3 linked regions of the Macaca fascicularis genome follow. The protein of the gene in region 1 purifies or fractionates together with the protein of each later gene. This does not show direct contact. Links are inferred from orthologs where the notes say so. Each region holds a gene or a part of one and is shown in the gene's direction. Other genes may lie near its edges.

Evidence for each region. Proteins that work in one complex are often made in the same cells at the same time.
Region 2: the proteins of ZC3H4 (region 1) and CSNK2B purify together in Homo sapiens (affinity purification with mass spectrometry; 3 studies listed by BioGRID and IntAct, with this or other methods). This does not show direct contact. The link is inferred for Macaca fascicularis from reciprocal best matches to the Homo sapiens genes ZC3H4 and CSNK2B.
Region 3: the proteins of ZC3H4 (region 1) and WDR82 purify together in Homo sapiens (affinity purification with western blotting; 4 studies listed by BioGRID and IntAct, with this or other methods). This does not show direct contact. The link is inferred for Macaca fascicularis from reciprocal best matches to the Homo sapiens genes ZC3H4 and WDR82.

The regions. Positions count from the first base shown.
Region 1 is NC_088393.1:55,064,874-55,070,546, reverse strand, and holds part of ZC3H4 (zinc finger CCCH domain-containing protein 4), read left to right. Parts: intron 1-2,143; coding exon 2,144-2,395; intron 2,396-3,610; coding exon 3,611-5,124; 3' UTR 5,125-5,673. UniProt on the Homo sapiens protein: RNA-binding protein that suppresses transcription of long non-coding RNAs (lncRNAs). LncRNAs are defined as transcripts more than 200 nucleotides that are not translated into protein.
Region 2 is NC_088378.1:140,052,794-140,058,928, reverse strand, and holds CSNK2B (casein kinase II subunit beta), read left to right. Parts: upstream 1-2,008; 5' UTR 2,009-2,111; intron 2,112-2,694; 5' UTR 2,695-2,705; coding exon 2,706-2,777; intron 2,778-3,725; coding exon 3,726-3,828; intron 3,829-4,391; coding exon 4,392-4,507; intron 4,508-4,949; coding exon 4,950-5,025; intron 5,026-5,171; coding exon 5,172-5,361; intron 5,362-5,688; coding exon 5,689-5,779; coding exon of another isoform or gene 5,780-5,855; 3' UTR 5,856-5,910; downstream 5,911-6,135. Other genes in the region: GPANK1 (G patch domain and ankyrin repeat-containing protein 1), read right to left, coding at 1-332. UniProt on the Homo sapiens protein: Regulatory subunit of casein kinase II/CK2.
Region 3 is NC_088376.1:115,351,376-115,357,659, reverse strand, and holds the start of WDR82 (WD repeat-containing protein 82), read left to right. Parts: upstream 1-2,157; 5' UTR 2,158-2,229; coding exon of another isoform or gene 2,230-2,431; coding exon 2,432-2,592; intron 2,593-6,284. Other genes in the region: uncharacterized protein, read right to left, coding at 1,814-2,128, 2,230-2,433. UniProt on the Homo sapiens protein: Regulatory component of the SET1/COMPASS complex implicated in the tethering of this complex to transcriptional start sites of active genes.

The DNA.
Region 1 (5,673 bases):
TAGAGGGACGAGTGTGCAAGGGTGTGAGGCTGAGAGGCTGATGGGCTCATCAGGGCTCAGTTAGTGGCCTGGCCAAAACTCTCTCTTTCCAGGCAGTTCTCGGCTTGGAGCAACCAGTGTCTACCCCAGGACTCTGCGGGTTCTGTGCCCTTTACCGGCCGTTTTCCTGCCTTTTTTTCCTTTTGCATTGGTAACATGTGTCCAGTGAGCAGAGGGGTTTAGATGACGCTACAGCTGTAGGAGATGCGATGTGCAGCCCTCTGGAGGAGGAGGGCCAGGCACAGTAGGCCCCCACTGTCCTTGCCCAGTTGCATCTTGGTGGAATGAAGCAGGTGGCAAGCGTGTAGATAGAGGAGTTGGCTCCTTTCAGCACTGGCCATTGTTAGAAGAAAAGGTAGGGTACCGTGGTGGTGGGCCAGAAGGCTCAGTGCCTCAATGGGGATGGTCACAAAAGTCTCTCTGAGAAGTGAAGCAGCACTTGCAACGTGAGGAACGATGGGACCTCTGGGCGGGGGCGACGCTGTGTTGAGCTGGGGATGCTGCTGTGGCAGCTGCTGGGGGCTGTCCCTGGGCAGAGGCAGCAGGGCAGCCACTGGAGTGCAAGGCAGGGCTTCGAGGTTTGGATGCGGCGCCGTAGGGCAGTGTGAGTCCTGTGTGTGTTTTGCAAGGCAGGTAGGAGCGGCATTGAGGATAGGGCGCTGGACGTGGGGCATAGTCACTCCAGGGTGCCTGCCCCTCTGATGGCCATGTGGAAATTTTGAGGGGTAGTTTCAGGGGCATCAGGGAGAGGCCCAGGCTAGAGATCAAAATGTAGACATGGGCTTTGACTTTAGGTGGTGCATGGAGCCAGGAGAGCAGGTACTCGAGTGAGAGTGGGTGCTTTAGAAAGATGAGAAAAACAGGCTGCCACAATGAGGTGCTGGGGTTCCCTTTAACAAAAGCATCTCAAAGGTGCATGGGAGAAGCTTTGCTGGCGGGAAACCAGAAGTCGGTCACATTGGTAGCAGTAGGTGTCTCTAGGGTAATCCTGTTTCATAAAATCCTCCCTCTAACATATGTGGTCTGTGGTTTCTGGTGTGTGCACAGACTGTATGAAGGGGGACCCTTGGCTGTCTGGTTCGTCGAGTGGGTCCCAGCTCTGCGCTGGGATGTGTCACAGAGCAGGCTGGCCCATCAGGTTCACTTGACGAAGTTGAAATTAATGTAAGCTAAGTTACAAGTGCACTTTTTTAGACACCACGTTTTAAATGCTCAGCTGCCCCAGGAAGATTTAGGTGGCCACATGTTGCCCTGCAGATCTAGAACATTTCCATCACTGCATAGCGTTCTGTGGGGAAGCACTGACTCTAGACATCCCCCCGTCTCGGTGACTCGCTGTCTCCCATGCTCACATGTCATGCACACACACAACATGCAGGAGGTGTCGCCGAGCCTGCCCTCCCCTTTACTCCTGCTGCGTCCCCACGTCAGCCTGTGCCGCTGCCCACAGCTCTTGGCTCAGGCACTGGGGGAGTGCATGGGGTGAGGTGGTTGGTGCCAGTGCCCACACCGCAGGAGGTGGAGGCCCGGTGCTTCCTGAGAGACCCCCTAATGCTGTGGAGCAGGAGGGAAGGCACTCTGGAGCCTCTGTTGGCCAGAGCAGCACTTTGGCTCATTTCATTCTCTTTTCCTGGCTTTTAATGTTGAACATGGTTGAGTTCACTATGAGATATACAGTGTTTTCTTATTAATTGTTAGAAAGAAACCATGAAACTCCTGTCCATCCAAAATAATTAAACAAGTACAGGAAAGAGTGCAGGATCCATCCCTGGCCTCTCTAGAATCTGCGTCCCAGAGGGACTGTTTCTGTCTTTTCAAAGCCTTCTCCTTGCGTCTTACAAATGTACATCCGATGTTCCATCCTGTTTCCACCTCATAAGCGTTTGCCCCATCACTCAACCCTCTCTGAACCTCATTCTTCACATAGGCGGGGCTACCCATGGGCGGCTCCGTTCCCCTGAGACCTGGGGAGGGCAGGCAGGGGCAGGCTGTGCGTCCTTCTCCATCACCATCTGGGTGGGTTTGCAGTGAGGGGCAGGGTGGGGCTGGAGTTGGCACCTGGAGGCCCTTCCCGACATGAACCCTCGGTTCTTCCCTGCCACAGAGGACTACGGGCACTACGAAGAGCTGCCAGGGGAGCCTGGGGAGCACCTCTTCCCTGAGCACCCTCTGGAGCCCGACAGCTTCTCTGAGGGAGGGCCCCCAGGCCGGCCGAAGCCAGGCGCCGGTGTCCCTGATTTCCTGCCCTCAGCCCAGAGGGCCCTGTACCTGAGGATCCAGCAGAAGCAGCAGGAGGAGGAGGAGAGAGCGAGGAGGCTGGCTGAGAGCAGCAAGCAGGACCGGGAGAATGAGGAAGGCACGTGTCCGCCCCAGGGGCCGGGGCACAGGCCCTGGGCCACTGTGCAGGGGAGCGGAGGTGGTGGGGTGTTCCAGGTTGGGTTTCCTGTCGGGAAGGAGCCCATGGCTAGGGAGGACCCCTGTCCAGGGCCATGAAGCCGGGTTGGGGCTGCTGTATATCCCTGAGAAAACTGGCAGTCAGGGATGGCTTTCTGTGTTGGGTTCAGGAGAGACCCTGATCCCATAGAGTAGGGTGGAGGGCTGGTTTCTGGAAGAGAAAGCCGCCAACAGGATCAGCTGCCTGCGCCCTGCCAGAGGAGGCTTTAGGGAGACTCTCAAAGCCCCCGTTTTCCTACCATGTTCTCAAGGAGCCAACAGACAAGAGAGTCATTGAAATTAACCAGTAATAATCATAGTCATGAGCCACAAAGTCTCAGTTGCTGTGTGGTTGACTTAGTGGTGTCCGCCTTGGGGTAAAATGACAAGTGGTTTCTGGATCCTGAAACTAGAGGCCACAGGTGGCCCTGACAGTATCCCAGGAGCCAGTGGGACAGCAGGAAGAGGGGCGGCTCCCCTGATGGCCCAGGCTGTACTGGCCTAGGTTTTGCTTGAGCCCATGTCTGAGTCTGCCCAGCCGGCCCTGCCTCTTAGCTGGTGACTGGTTGGTCCAGCCGCCCTTCCCTGGGACATGGGGACATCGTGAGCCGGTTTGGGAGCAAGTGTTTGTGAGCCCTAGGCCCAGCCAGAACTGAGTCAATGGTATCTGCTACGAGGACCTCCAGAAGGAGGTGCCCACAGCTGCACTTGCCACAGTGGGGGCTGAACCAGCCCAGAGGTGGGCGGGAGGAGACGCCAGAGCTCTGGGTTAGGAGTCCCAGCCCAGTCCTGGCCCTGATGTCTAAGTAACGGCACCGTGCCTCTGTTTTCACATCTGTCAAATGGGCATGATAGTATCACTACTTTCTGGGGTGGTTAGTAGTTTGTTTTATTTTAAGTAACTCACTAGTGCAGTGCCGCCACTGAGGAGCGCTGGGGAGCATGGCATAAACGGTAGCGCCTTAGCTCCCTGGGTCTCCTCAGCCGCCTGTTGTGGGGAGGGAGCCTTAGAGAGGAGGACCTGAGGATCTGAGAGGCACGAGCAAAGGAGCTGCTCACGGTGGGCTGCTGTGGGGTCCAAGAGGACGGGTGGTGGATGCGCCCACTTACCCTTCCCTGCTCCTCTGTTCTTTCCCAGGTGACACTGGAAACTGGTACTCAAGTGATGAGGATGAGGGTGGAAGCAGTGTAACCTCCATCCTGAAGAGCTTGAGGCAGCAGACGTCCAGCCGACCCCCAGCTTCAGTTGGAGAGCTGAGCAGCAGTGGGCTGGGAGACCCCCGCCTCCAGAAGGGACACCCAACAGGAAGCCGGCTGGCAGACCCTCGCCTCAGCCGGGACCCCAGACTCACCCGCCACGCAGAGGCTTCTGGCGGGTCTGGCCCAGGGGATTCCGGACCCTCTGATCCTCGGCTGGCTCGCGCCCTGCCCACCTCCAAGCCTGAAGGCAGCCTTCATTCCAGCCCTGTGGGCCCCAGCAGTTCCAAGGGGTCTGGGCCGCCCCCTGCGGAGGAAGAGGAAGGGGAGCGGGCCCTGCGGGAGAAGGCCGTGAACATTCCCCTGGACCCACTCCCCGGGCACCCCCTGCGGGACCCACGGTCACAACTGCAGCAGTTCAGCCACATCAAGAAGGACGTGACCCTGAGCAAGCCCAGCTTCGCCCGCACCGTGCTCTGGAATCCCGAGGACCTGATCCCCCTACCCGTCCCCAAGCAGGACGCAGTGCCCCCCGTGCCCGCTGCCCTGCAGTCCATGCCCACCCTGGACCCCCGCCTGCACCGCGCCGCAACGGCAGGGCCCCCCAACGCCCGGCAGCGCCCAGGTGCCTCCACGGACTCCAGCACACAGGGCGCCAACCTCCCCGACTTTGAACTTCTCTCTCGCATCCTCAAGACGGTCAATGCCACCGGCTCCTCAGCTACTCCTGGTTCCACTGACAAACCCAGTGACCCCCGGGTGCGGAAGGCCCCCACCGACCCTCGGCTGCAGAAACCCACAGACTCTACGGCCTCCTCCCGGGCTACCAAGCCCAGCCCCGCTGAGGCACCCTCTCCCACTGCCAGCCCGAGTGGGGATGCCTCCCCACCAGCCACCGCTCCCTATGACCCTCGCGTGCTGGCAGCCGGTGGGCTGGGCCAGGGTGGAGGGAGCGGGCAGAGCAGCGTGCTGAGCGGCATCAGCCTCTACGACCCGAGGACTCCCAACGCGGGGGGCAAAGCCACAGAGCCGGCCGCTGACACAGGTGCCCAGCCCAAGGGCGCTGAAGGTAATGGCAAGAGCTCGGCCTCCAAGGCGAAGGAGCCCCCGTTCGTCCGCAAGTCTGCCCTGGAACAGCCAGAGACAGGGAAGGCCGGTGCCGATGGGGGCCCCCCCACGGACAGATACAACAGCTACAACCGGCCCCGGCCCAAGGCCGCTACAGCCCCCACCGCCACCACCGCCACCCCACCCCCTGAGGGTGCCCCACCCCAGCCTGGGGTGCACAACCTGCCCGTTCCCACCCTCTTCGGGACGGTGAAGCAGGCACCCAAGACGGGCTCAGGAAGTCCATTTGCTGGGAACAGTCCGGCCCGCGAGGGCGAGCAGGATGCGGCGTCCCTAAAGGATGTTTTTAAAGGCTTCGACCCCACGGCCTCCCCCTTTTGCCAGTAGTGTCCAGCCAGAGCCGCGGCTCCAGCCGCCCTTCCTGGGGTGGCATTCAGGGCAGCACCCGGGGTGGGGAGCTTGTTGGGGAGGGGAGGCAGGCTGGGTGTTCCTTTTTTCTTTTCTCCCTTTTCTTTTCTTTTGCTTTTCTTTCTTTTTTTTTTTTTTTAAGTAGTACTTTCTTTGAGATTTATAAATTGTATATAACCATCTTAAGTTCTAGTCAGTGTGGCGGGCTCAGGAGCTCCTGCTGAGCAAACTGACTCGTGCCCGCAAACCTGTGAACTGTCGCCAGTGTCCAGACTCAGACCCCATGGACTCTGCCTGGCCGGGCCTCGCTGGAGGCCCAGTGGGTTTTTTGGGCAAAGCATGGCCCCTTTTCCCCAGGACAAAGGGAACAGTTGGTGTCTTGGAAGGCACTGAACGCTCCTTACCCTGTGCCCAAAGAGACCCAGAACCAAGACCATGGCAGGGCCTGTGTGGAAGCAGGTTCAGGCGTTTCTAGAATCCTGGGGTGCACCATCACTGTCTCTTCAGTGCAGGGCGTGACAACCCACT
Region 2 (6,135 bases), on another chromosome or scaffold:
GCCCTCAGTATCCGGTGAGTCATCTTATCCTCAGCCTCAAGGGATCTCCCTTGTCCATATCTTCCTGATACTCCTTCTGCCACTGCTTCTGCTGCAGCTGCCCCCATGATTCTTCTTTTCTTTCTCTTTCTTTCTCTGGCAGGTTCAGTCTGAGATCTTTGGGAGTCAGGAACGCAGCTCTCATCCCCAATAAGGGCCTCATAGAAAGCTCGGGCTGCAGCTCCATCCAGGGTGGACTCTGGCTCCTCGGGCTGTGGCTGCTGCTGCCCATCCTTCCAGAGGTCGCTGGGGTCAGTGGCTGGGGTGAAGGTGATGAGGAAGGGCTGGGACATGGCTTTTGGGAGAACTGAGAAAATGATACCAGGCAAGGGAAGGATGCGACAAGCAAGCCAAGCTCCTGGTGACTCTGTAGCAACCAGAGCCTCAGGGACCTGCTGGGATGAGAAAAAGTAGTCAAAAACACTTTCCTGCCGCTAAAGTGACCCCACAACTTAAGACTCTGCAGGGTCTAAGGGAGAGAGTATATGCGTAAAAACACGAAACCCTACAATACCGACTTTGCTCCTTAGTAAAGATTAATCAAACTCCATGAGACAGTCGTCCAGAGGTCCTGCGTCCGGCCCCCACCCCCATCCTTACCAACAATAAATACCAGCCTCTTTCTGAAATCACTTTCTCACCCCGTAAAACAGACATACCAGTAGGAAAAAAAAAAATCAAACCTGGCCCTTTAAGTCTTCCGTGATCCCATTTCGGAGTTTCCTCTTCCCAAACAAAAATAGACGGGTCACTCCCTAGAAGATCTCGGGGAGAGGCTCCTATACGTGTTGCCGTGTAGCTTCCGTAACGCAAAATGGCGCTATTCTGATCAGCAGAGTTGACACAATCAAATAGCCACACGGCACGGAGACGCATGCGTGGCGACAACAACAACAAAAACCACCACCCACATTACTTGATGGCTCAGGCGTGCGCAAAGCTCCCGGTTCAGTTTCCCGCGCTGGAACTTTTCCAATAGTAAACGAGCAAAGCTCCGCGCGCCCAGGTGGCGCGAGCGCTAGGATCTGTCGGTTGGGGTCCTACTTTTACATAACGCCCCCACAATGCCCTTCGCCTTCCTCTACGTGGCCCCCGCTCCAAGCCCATTTTCTGGAGCTAGGAATCCACTCTCTGGGTTAGGAAAGGCCCTCAGGAGGCGGAGGGAAACCTGTGGAATGCCGAGAAGCCGTGTAATGAAATAACGTCACGCCTGCCCCTCACCATTACTCTGACCAGGGTTCGAAGGTCACACTTAGAGACTAAGGGGAAATGGAGAAGTGCAAGGGGACGAGCAGAATGGCTGGCACCACCTCAGGTTAGCGCACTGGGCCGTTCTGGTTCTCACCCAGCCCAGCCCAGCCCAGCCCAGCCCAGCCCAGCCCAGCCCAGCCCAGCCCTCCCAACCCAAGTCCCTACGCACGGAGCCAAGCCGCACCTCTCGCCTCATGAGGCCGGAGCCCGGAGTAAAACAGAAGGCCCGTCAAGGGTCTCTGGCGGGACTGACTCGCACTAGGGGCCCAACAGGCAATAAGGACCCAGCGCATTGGCCAAGGATAGGCCAGTCCCCAGGGAAGCAGCACCGCGTCGGGACTAGAGGGCAACTGTGAGGAGAGCTGCGAGGAGGGGTCCAGCCTGGCTCCCTCCTTTCCCCGCCCTAAGTCAGCTTCTTCGCCCAGTGAGCACACAACTGTATTGCCCAGGCTCCCAGGCCCCGAACGCCATACCTGGTTTCCGCTTCCGGTGGCTTCTCGTTGCGCCCCGCCCGCAAGCGTCCTCCTCCGGGGCTTCGTGACAGCCAGGTCGTGCGCGGGTCATCCTGGGATTGGTAGTTCGCTTTCCCTCACTTAGCCGGTTTCTCTCTCTACCGGGGACTCCGCGTCCCGGCATCCACCGCGGCACCTGACCCTTGGCGCTTGCGTGTTGCCCTCTTCCCCACCCTCCCCAATTTCCACTCCCCCCACCCCACTTCGCCTGCCGCGGTCGGGTCCGCGGCCTGCGCTGTAGCGGTCGCCGCCGTTCCTTCGAAGTAGCAACTTCCCTACCCCACCCCAGTCCTGGTCCCCGTCCAGCTGGTGAGTCTGAGGTCTTCGCTGCTCCTAGTCGCTTGTCGCTGGGAGCCGCACATGGGTCTCCGCACTTTGATATGGGGGCGGGGGGAGGAAGCAACCAGGTCCGGCAAGGAGGGAGAGGTGGCTTGAGGAGCGGAGGGGGGATGTGTGGAATCCGGTGAAAGGGACCTGACAGTCGCCCCCAACCCTTGAGAAAAGGAGGCGCCCGATTCTTGCTTGAGAGTGATAAACTTGGAAATCCTTGGGAAAGGCGCCGGGGTCGTGCAGAGACTTGCATTGGTACGGAGCCTGAGTCGAGGTCCCTGCCGGAGTTGACACAGAGAAGAGAGGGCCCTGGCTTTCGGGAGCTCCAGGGACGTGGGTCGGGCTGGTGGGTCAAAGTATCTGTTGGCTTCTTTCAAGTGGTGGGACCCCAAAGAATGTTTAACGTCAAAGAAAAGGGAACTGAGATGTAAATTGGAGGAGTTGGAGAGGAGTGCTTCAGAGTTTGGGATCCTTTAAGAAAGGGTGGTTCTAATGTGGGAGGAGGGAGGATACCCGAGGCAGGGAAGGAGAACTTGAGCTTTACTGACACTCTTTTTTTCAGCTGACGTGAAGATGAGCAGCTCAGAGGAGGTGTCCTGGATTTCCTGGTTCTGTGGGCTCCGTGGCAATGAATTCTTCTGTGAAGTGAGTTCTCTTCGACCTCCCTACTTGCTGGCTTCACATATCTTCCCACCAGATGTTCCTTCACGTATTCCACTTCTACACTGTTCTCTTACATACTACTTGAAAACTTCCCATCAACGAAGAGTCCCCTCAATAACCCCCGACGAACCTGTGCTAAAGTGGCAAAACTGGGGCCCAAGTTTCGACTCTGCCACCCTCCAGCAGGCAATTTGTGTCTTTTTCTTTATCTTTTTTTTGAGACTGGGTCTCACTGTGTCGCCCAGGCTGGAGTGTAGTGGTGCGATCTCGGCTCACTGCGACCTCTGCCCCCCAGGTTCAAGCGATTCTCCTGCTCCAGCCACCCAAGTAGCTGGGATTACAAGTACCCGCCACCACGCCCGGCTAATTTTTGGATTTTTAGTAGAGACAGGGTTTCACCATGTTGGCCAGGCTGGTCTCAAACTCCAGACCTCAGGTGATCTGCCCGCCTCAGCCTCCCAAAGTGCTGGGATTACAGGCATAAGCCATTGCGCCCAGCCTGTATCTTTTATTACTAAAGTTGTACTGCTAGTACCTGTCTCAGCTGGCTGTTAGGAAAATTGAAATGCTACGTATTGAAATGTTTTGTTCAGAAACCATGCCGTTCAGCTTCCATCCTCCTCAGCCAGCTGAGAGGACAAAACTGGTTCCTAGAGATGGAGTACAGGAGTAGGGACAGAGATCTTGAAAAGAATGTCTAAGAAAAAGATTGCTGTACCTGCTTATCCTTAGAAAAGAAAAGCCAAAGCTTTATGGGAGGGAGTATAGGTGAACTAGGGAGAGACGCAAGTACTTCTGCTGAGTTGGGAGTGAGAAACAAGCGGAACAGATGCAGTTGTGTTGATGATAAGGCATCAGTTAGAGCATTTTGCCCAGGTCAAAGATGGGGATTTTGATATGGGTTCCCTCTTGGCTTCCATGTCCCAACAGGTGGATGAAGACTACATCCAGGACAAATTTAATCTTACTGGACTCAATGAGCAGGTTCCTCACTATCGACAAGCTCTAGACATGATCTTGGACCTGGAGCCTGGTGAGGCACCCTCAGGGTTGTTTTGTGTGTGTGCATGCACTTTTTTTCTCTTCAAATCTATATTCACTTACTTGAATTTTGAAATTTCCTTTGGTTCTCTGATTTCTTTAACCCCAAATTCATGCTTTATTTTGATCCTCCACCTGACTGTGTCTAGTTTTGTGACGTATATCACTTGTTCCCATGTTTTCTAAATCCACAATTCAGATGTTTTCCAAAATATGTTTCCTCATGGGTCTGGTTTGCTATTTCTCCTGCTTTGCACCTTCCAGTCTAGAGTTTCATCTTTTGCATTGACATTGTTGCAGTTATGTATCGGGGAGGGAGCTGGGAGGGAGAGTGGGGAGCGGAGGCTAAAGAGGTGTGAAGAGAAGACAGAGCTGTCTTGGGTTGGCGCAAGGGTCAGAAGCCCAGGTTTCTGGGTCACATGCCCAGATGTTGGATGGGGTAAGGCCCAAAAGTAGGTGCCAGGCGAACTGAATAGCCCGCACCCCCTGGATATGGGCAGGGCACCTAGGAAAGCTGAAAAACAAGTGGTTGCATTTGGCCGGGCTGTGTTTCAGATGAAGAACTGGAAGACAACCCCAACCAGAGTGACCTGATTGAGCAGGCTGCCGAGATGCTTTATGGATTGATCCACGCCCGCTACATCCTTACCAACCGTGGCATTGCCCAGATGGTGAGGCCTCTCTGCTCCTAATTGCCTCCTTCTGAGCAGTAAGGGACACAGGTTCCTGCAGCAAGAAGTCATGTTTAAGCCTTGTTTAAGGAAACTGGCTGAGAAGAGGAGAAGAACCCCAGGCTTGGGCCTGGGAATTGAATTCTGATTGGGGGTCATCCTGAAGGGATAATTTTCAGGGAGGGAGACAGTCCTTGAACAGAGAGTTGTGATAGACTGCCTCTTCCTCAGGGAACAAACAACAAATGGCTCTGATGGTTTGTAGCCTGCCTAACTGGAAGAAAGGCAACATAGGAGTTTGAGAGCCCATCTGGGCCAGAGAAGGGGCCTCTGGACAGAGGTGGGAGGAGTGGGGGACAGAGTGATATGGGTTGAGCTGAGAAGGGAGTTGCCTCTTCTCTTCACACCTACCTGCCAACCCCTTCCATTTTATTCACTTCAGTTGGAAAAGTACCAGCAGGGAGACTTTGGTTACTGTCCTCGTGTGTACTGTGAGAACCAGCCAATGCTTCCCATCGGTGAGTGTTGAAGAAGGGAAAGGAAGGCACCTTGTGGCAGTCTTACGGGAAGGAGTTAGGGCTCAGCATCTTGGGGCCTGAGTCCTGAGGGGAGGTTAAGTAGGAACAGGGAGATACCTGGCCTGCTGAGTCTGGCTGTCTCCCAGGCCTTTCAGACATCCCAGGTGAAGCCATGGTGAAGCTCTACTGCCCCAAGTGCATGGATGTGTACACACCCAAGTCATCGAGACACCATCACACGGATGGCGCCTACTTTGGCACTGGTTTCCCTCACATGCTCTTCATGGTGCATCCCGAGTACCGGCCCAAGAGACCCGCCAACCAGTTTGTGCCCAGGTAGGGAGCAGGGAGAGTCATTAAGGGTCAAAGGAAAGGCCTAAGATCCCCCAGAGAGAGGGGAGGATGGGGCATGGCCCTTTCTTGAGGCCTGCTTCTCCCAGAATCGGCATCTCCCTGCGGAGTGACTGTGGGAAAGTTATTTGATTGTCTGTGCTTCAGTTACCTTATCATAGAATGTTCTTGAGCTGAGAAGTTGGGAACCACTAGGCTTAAGCTCTGAGCAGGTCCATGGAGGAGTTCAGGTGGGGAGGTGGGAATGCAGGTGACTAGCAGGGTCTGGATGGGGCTCATGCTACTGCCTCTCTGACCTCTGCCCTGGTCCAGGCTCTACGGTTTCAAGATTCATCCGATGGCCTACCAGCTGCAGCTCCAAGCCGCCAGCAACTTCAAGAGCCCAGTCAAGACGATTCGCTGATTCCCTACCCCACCTGTCCTGCACTTCCTTTCCTTTTTGCCACCCTTTCAGGAACCCTGTATGGTTTTTAGTTTAAATTAAAGGAGTCATTATTGTGGTGGGAATATGAAATAAAGTGGAAGAAAAGGCCATGAGCTAGTCTGCTGGTGCTTGCGGTTGGGGAAGGGAAGGTGATGGTGTGTTGGACTCCAGGGGCCCTCATGGCCCAGCCCACCCTCCCCAGATTGAAAACCAGGACAGATTTGTGCTCAGTGAATTGGGTGATGTTTTTAGTATAGAGCAGAACAGAATTCCTAGGACTGTGTGTGATGAAGTGCAAGGTCAAAAGGAAAAGACAGAAAAAGCATGTTTTAAAG
Region 3 (6,284 bases), on another chromosome or scaffold:
TTGGAAACAGTAAGAATGTGAAATAGGATGAGCATTTGAAGACCCTCTTAAAAACGAAAAAAAAAAAAAAAAAAAAAAAAAAGACTGCATTCCAAAAATAATGCAGAAAGGCAAGTCTTGGGAGGAAGGTTTGGTCTTAACGGTGAAATCTGGAAAAGGTATAGGAAGTACAATACTTGAAAGATACCCTGAAAAGATTTCTTTTGGCCGGCAACATTCAGTAGATTACAGCTGTTTCTGTGGTTATTTTTGTAGATTAACATGGACCAAAATACGGCATCATCTTACTGGGCGCGTTCACTTCCCGACAGTTCCAGAACATGGCACTCGATCTGTCCTTGTTGCCTTCTAAACTATTCGAAGCAGACTCTGTATCAGCCTTTCTAGCTTCTGAAATAAAGGCACAGGAATTACAGGGAAGCAGAGTGAGTGATCTGGGGCGTGGAGGGTTTTTCTTCCATTGCTGTGCAGTTTGGAAAGTTGCCATCTATTCAGGTTTCACTCAAACCGGCTTTTTCCAGACCCCAGAACAAATTGTAGCCAGAAGCTCTGCTCTTTGTCAGGAGGCAATTATACCCCAGACTTAGCCAGGAACTTGCCCTCTTCCCTTAGAGAACAACTTCTCTTTATGTATAAGGATCCTGGCTCTCCTTTTACCCAGGGGGTTGGGATACAGCCTCTAAGTTCTTTCTAGAAAGACCCCAGCTGTCCCAGGGTTTCCATTTTGTTTTTTACCATTGCACAGGTCTCTGGATATCACACCTTCCTAATAGCGACTGAAATGTCTCATAGCCTTTCCTTGTTTTTGTTTCTCTTTAGCTAAAGAAAGCAAAAATAAATAATCCCCATCTCCACTGTTGGAAACCCCAGGCTTTTTAACCTTTGGAGGAGCTTCACACAAGATAGAGATCTGTGAAGCTACATAGGCTGGCACTGAGTGTAACCCTTTGCCCATAAAGTTAAGGTTAGGAAGCTTGGTTCCTATTTTCTGTTCAAATACTGTTTTCCTTTGTTAGAGATAAACTTCTTTTAAGGCAAAGAATCACTTATATGATAGAACCTTTAGAATAATCCTGTTGACTACAAACAGGATAGTGCAACTCTTCCATATTTTGAATGTGGTGGTGATTGCATGACTGTGTTATGGGTGTTAGAACATAAAACTAGCCACTAAAAAGGCTAATTTTTGGAGGGAGACCGTCTGTTCTGTCGCCCAGGCTGGAATGCAGTGGCACGATTTCGGCTCACTGCAGCCTCTCCCTTTCTCAATTCTCGTGCCTCAGCCGCGCCATCATGCCCGGCTAATTTTTTGTATTTTAGAAGAGATGGGGTTTTGTCATGTTGGCCAGGCTGGTCTCAAACTCCTGAGCTCAAGCGATCATCCTGCCTCGGCCTCCCAAAGAGGTGGGATGGAAAGGCGTGAGCCACCGCGCCCGGCCCAAGGCGGCTGATTTTTACTGTACCTAAAGTCTACCTCGATTAAGAACACCAGGCCGGGTGCGGGTGGCGGGCGGACTGCCTGAGGTCAGGAGTTCGAGACCAGCCTGGCCAACATGGTGAAACCCCGTCTCTTCTAAAAATACAAAATTAGCAGGCGTGGTGGCGCGCGCCTGTAATCCCAGTTGCACGGGAGGCTGAGGCAGGAGAATCCCTTGAACCCGGGAGGCGGAGGTTGTGGTGAGCCGAGATAGCGCAACTGAGCGACAAAGCGAGAGACTCCATCTCAAAAAAAAAAAAAAAAAAAAAGAGGTCGAAGCTGTCTAAGCGGGCGCTGCGGTGGACTAGCGGTCAAGCCTGCCCGCGAGCGGCTCACCTGATTCGCCCCCAAAACCGGCCTCCAGCGGCGTACTCGACCCTGCAGTACCCCCTCCCACGCGGCTTGTGGTCGGGAAGCCTGCAGGAGGCGCCAGAGCCTTCGCAGGGGTTGCAGTCTAGCGCAAGGGCCCTCAGCTTCCAAGGCACCCGCAACCTTCCGACCCCCGGAGAAGGCCCCGCGCGTCTGAGCCCCTCCCTGCCAGCGGCCAGCCCTGCCACTACACTCAGCCGCGGCCGCGCTGACGTCACCACCCCCACTCCCGGCCTCGCGAGGCCGTTCCCGCCCCGCCCCCTTTCCCGGCGTGCGCCGCGGCTAAGGCTCCTCGCCCTCAGCTTCTGCCTGTCGCCCCAAAATGGCGGACACAATGAGCCGGCGACGCGCCGGTTGTCCGTGAGGTGGCTGTGAAGACGAACAGACGGCGAGGCTCCGCAGTTCAGGCAGAAGACCCTCGTCCAAGCAGGAGGAAGAGGAGGAGGTGGCCCAACTGTTGGCCGACTTCCCTCTAGCCGCCGGCGCGGCGCCCGCCCCGCCTGGGTTGGCCCCTCGGCAGCCCGCCCGTTCGCCGCCGGGCCCCGCCCCGGTCCTGCGCCGCCGCTGCCTTCCTCAGCCGCCGCCATGAAGCTGACCGATAGCGTGCTGCGGAGCTTCCGCGTCGCTAAGGTGTTCCGCGAAAACTCGGACAAGATTAACTGCTTCGATTTCAGCCCCAACGGCGAGACGGTCATCTCGAGTAGCGACGACGACTCCATCGTGCTCTATGACTGCCAGGAGGGCAAGTGAGTGCGGCGGAGGCCCTGGGCCCAAGTCTCAGTGCCTCCCTCCCTCCGGTGGCCCAGCACTGGTCCCTCGGCCCGCCCTCCGTTCCAACTTCAGCCCCCGGCCTATTTTGCACGCGTTCCTGCCAGGGCCGCCTCCACCCCGCAGCAGTCCAGGAGACCTTTTATTTTTTCTTATTAAAAAAAATTACGATAGTCATAATTTTATAATAGCATTCTTATTTGTAAGTTTTCGGTCTCCTTTGAGCGCTATGCATCGCTTGCCAAACCCCACCTTGACCTTGACCTTTAAACGCCCGGTCCGCCCACCGTGGGCCCAGCAGGTAGCGTTTTCAGCTTCTCAGGCTGTCAGAGGTGCTGGTCTGCTCCGGCCTCGACGCAGGACTGCAGGGGCTGCTCTCCTGCCTCCTTCGGCAGCGTCAGCTCGCTCTTCTGCCCTCTCCGCTGTGACCTCGATTCCGCCCTGGCACTCCGCCTATCCCCTGCCCCTCAGCTTCCCGCGGCCTTTCTGCCGTCAGACAGCGTGGGTTGCAGTTCTTAGCTGTCAGGATTTATTTGTTGTGCCTCTTTGAGCCCCCTTGCTTTTTCTTCGTGCTCGTAGCCTTTCTCTTATTCTTTCAAACTCGGTGCCCACGTTCATAAGTGAACTTTTCAGCAACATCTAAAACTTCTTTTTGCCACACACAAACGAACTTGGTCTTCCCATCCTGACCTGAATGTGAGCTTCCGTTAAAACAAAGCAAGCATCGTAGAACAATTTCAGGTTTCCTTTCATACTTTTTTTTTCTATTACACTTTTTGGTCCACTTTGAATTCCAATTCTGATCATGAAACTTTTATGTTGCCACAAGTCATCTGGAGACCCACCATACCTGCATCTTTTCGCAAAATCTAAGCACAGCACTTTGACTTTTCCCCTGGGGGTCCTTGTCAGCCCCCTCACCGCACGCCTGTGGACTTGCAGCTCCTTGGAGCCAAAACTAGTTTAGATTAAATTTGTTTTACCCTTAGCCACCTTCCCCAAGAAGGCTTGCTGATGTTTGGTTTAATTCGGTGACCTCTGGTTTTGTCAGACTTGATTTTGTTACCTAGTAACAGATACTATTATTATTATTGTGAGGTCTTGGGTTTTTTCCTACCTTCTCCAGCTGTTCCTTTTGCCTTTTTTTTTTTTTTTTTTTTAAACTGGTGTCTTTCTTTTGGAACGTATCTCTTCATTTGTGAATTTGATTATCTGAAATAATGCTAGTTTGGACTGAGCTATAATGGTATCCCCCCTAATTTTTTTTCCCACTGGGACTGTGAGAAATTATTACGTAACCGGCTCTGGATCTGCCTGCAGTATGTAGCAGAGTGGTCTGCAGTGGTGGTCTTAAGGAAGAGGGAATTGTTAGCTGAACAAATACTTAGTTATTTGAGTCAGTGTTACTCCTTGAGTAGATAGATTTCTGTCCTGGTCTGGTCACTTGAATCAGTTTAGAAGAGGAAGTAACACTTAAAGGTGTGGTAGTAGGGTTGGCATTGTGGGGTCCTGGAGGAGTAATTTGAAGCTGGCTTGCATGAAATGTTTAGTGCTTTTGCACAGATTAGAACCTCTTCCCAGAACCTCAGGATGGAGATATATATCCTCATTTAAAGAAAATGAAGGTTGTGATAGCCTTTCTTTGCAGTTTGTCCCCAAATTTGGCATAATTTTGATTTGGGAAGGATGACCTTGACGTGAAGTCCTGTCTTTTTTTTTTTTCCTTGTGTTTTTGGGACAGAGTCTCCCTCTGTTGCCCAGGCTGGAGTGCAATGGCATGATCTTGGCTCACTGCAACCTCTACCTCCCGGGTTAAAGCGATTCTCCTGCCTCAGCTTCACAAGTAGCTGGGATTACAGGCGCCTGCCACCATGCCCTGCTAATTTTTGTATTTTTAGTAGAGACGGGTTTCACCATGTTGACCAGGCAGGTCTTGAACTCCTGACCTCAAGTGATCCACCCACCTCGGCCTCCCAGAGTGCTAGGATTACAGGCATGACGTGCTGCGCCTGGCCAAATCCTGTCTTGTTAAAAGTAAAATGCTAGTTTTGTGACATAAGGCAGTTTATTCACTCACATAGCATTTTTTACATAATTGCAAATGAACAGAAAGTTACAACAATGTTTCAGATAACTCCCATATGATTCAGTAACTGGTTACATTTTCTGCATTTGCTTCATCACTGTAGGTAAATATTTATATGTACTGTGTGCCTCCCCCCACCCTTAGAGTTGGAGGTATCAAGCCCTTTTATCTCTAAACACTTCAACATGGACTTTCTTTCATCTTTCTTTTTCTTTCCTTTTTTTTTTTTTTTTTTTGAGATAGAGTCTCGCTTGGCCGCCCAGGCTGGAGTGCAGTGGCGTGATCTTGGCTCACTGCAACCTCCAGCTCCTGGGTTCAAGCGATTCTCCTGCTTTAGCCTCCTGAGTAGCTGGGATTACAGGTGTGCGTCACCAAGCCCGGCTAATTTTTGTGTTTTTAGTAGAGACAGGGTTTCACCATGTTGGTCAGGCTGGTCTCGAACTCCTGACCTCGTGATCTGCCCTCCTCGGCCTCCCAAAGTGCTGGGATTACAGGTGTGAGCCACCACACCTGGCTCAACATGGATTTTCTAAGCACAAAGACATTCTTACATAACCAGAGATCCAAATTAGGAAATTTAGTATTGATACAATACTACAGGGCATGCTCTTTTGAGTTTTCTTTGATCAATTAATTGTGACCTTGTTTTGTTATCTGTGGTGAAGGAGTGGCCTGGTAGGTAGGAGAGAACTGCGTTCTAATTTGGCCTGTGACTAGGTATGTGACATTGGTCAAATTCTCTGGATATTAAACAACCTCTTTAGTTTCCATTCTAGGCAATAATATGACAAAAAATTTTGTTGCTAGTATAGGTCAAACCAACCTCAGAAGAAAAGAAGTATTTCCTTGGAAGACATGGTATTGTATCTTTTTTTTTTTTTTTTGATACGGAGTTTCGCTCTTGTTGCCCAGGCTGGAGTGCAATGGCGTGATCTCAGCTCACTGCAACCTCTGCCTCCCGGGTTCAAGCGATTCTCCTGCCTCAGCCTCCTGAGTAGCTGGGATTACAGGCATGCACCACCATGCCTGGCTAATTTTGTATTTTTAGTGAATACGGAGTTTCTCCATGTTGGTCAGGCTGATCTCAAACGCCCAACCTCAGGTTATGCACCGCCTCAGCCTCCCAAAGTGCTGGGATTACAGGCATGAGCCACTGTGCCTGCCCAGCCTTTATTTTATTCTTTTTTGTTTGTTTGTTTGTTTGAGATAGCCTCACTCTTTCCTAGGCTGGAGTGCAGTGGTGTGATCTTGGCTCACTGCTGCAACCTCTGGCTCCTGGGTTCAAGCACTTCTTGTGCCTCAGCCTCCCGAGTAGCTGGGATTACAGGCGCCCATCACTATGCCCAGCTAATTTTTGTATTTTTAGTAGAGATGAGGTTTCGCAATGTTGGCCATGTTGGTCTCAACGCCTTACCTCAATTGGTCCACCCACCTCGGCCTCCAAAGTGCTGTGATTACAGGCGTGAGCCACTGCACCTGGCCCTTTTTATTTTATTTTTTTTAAAGACAAAGGTCTTCCCCTGTTGCCCAGGCTGGAGTGCAATAGCATGCTTATAGCTCACTAAAGCCTTCATCTTCCGGGCT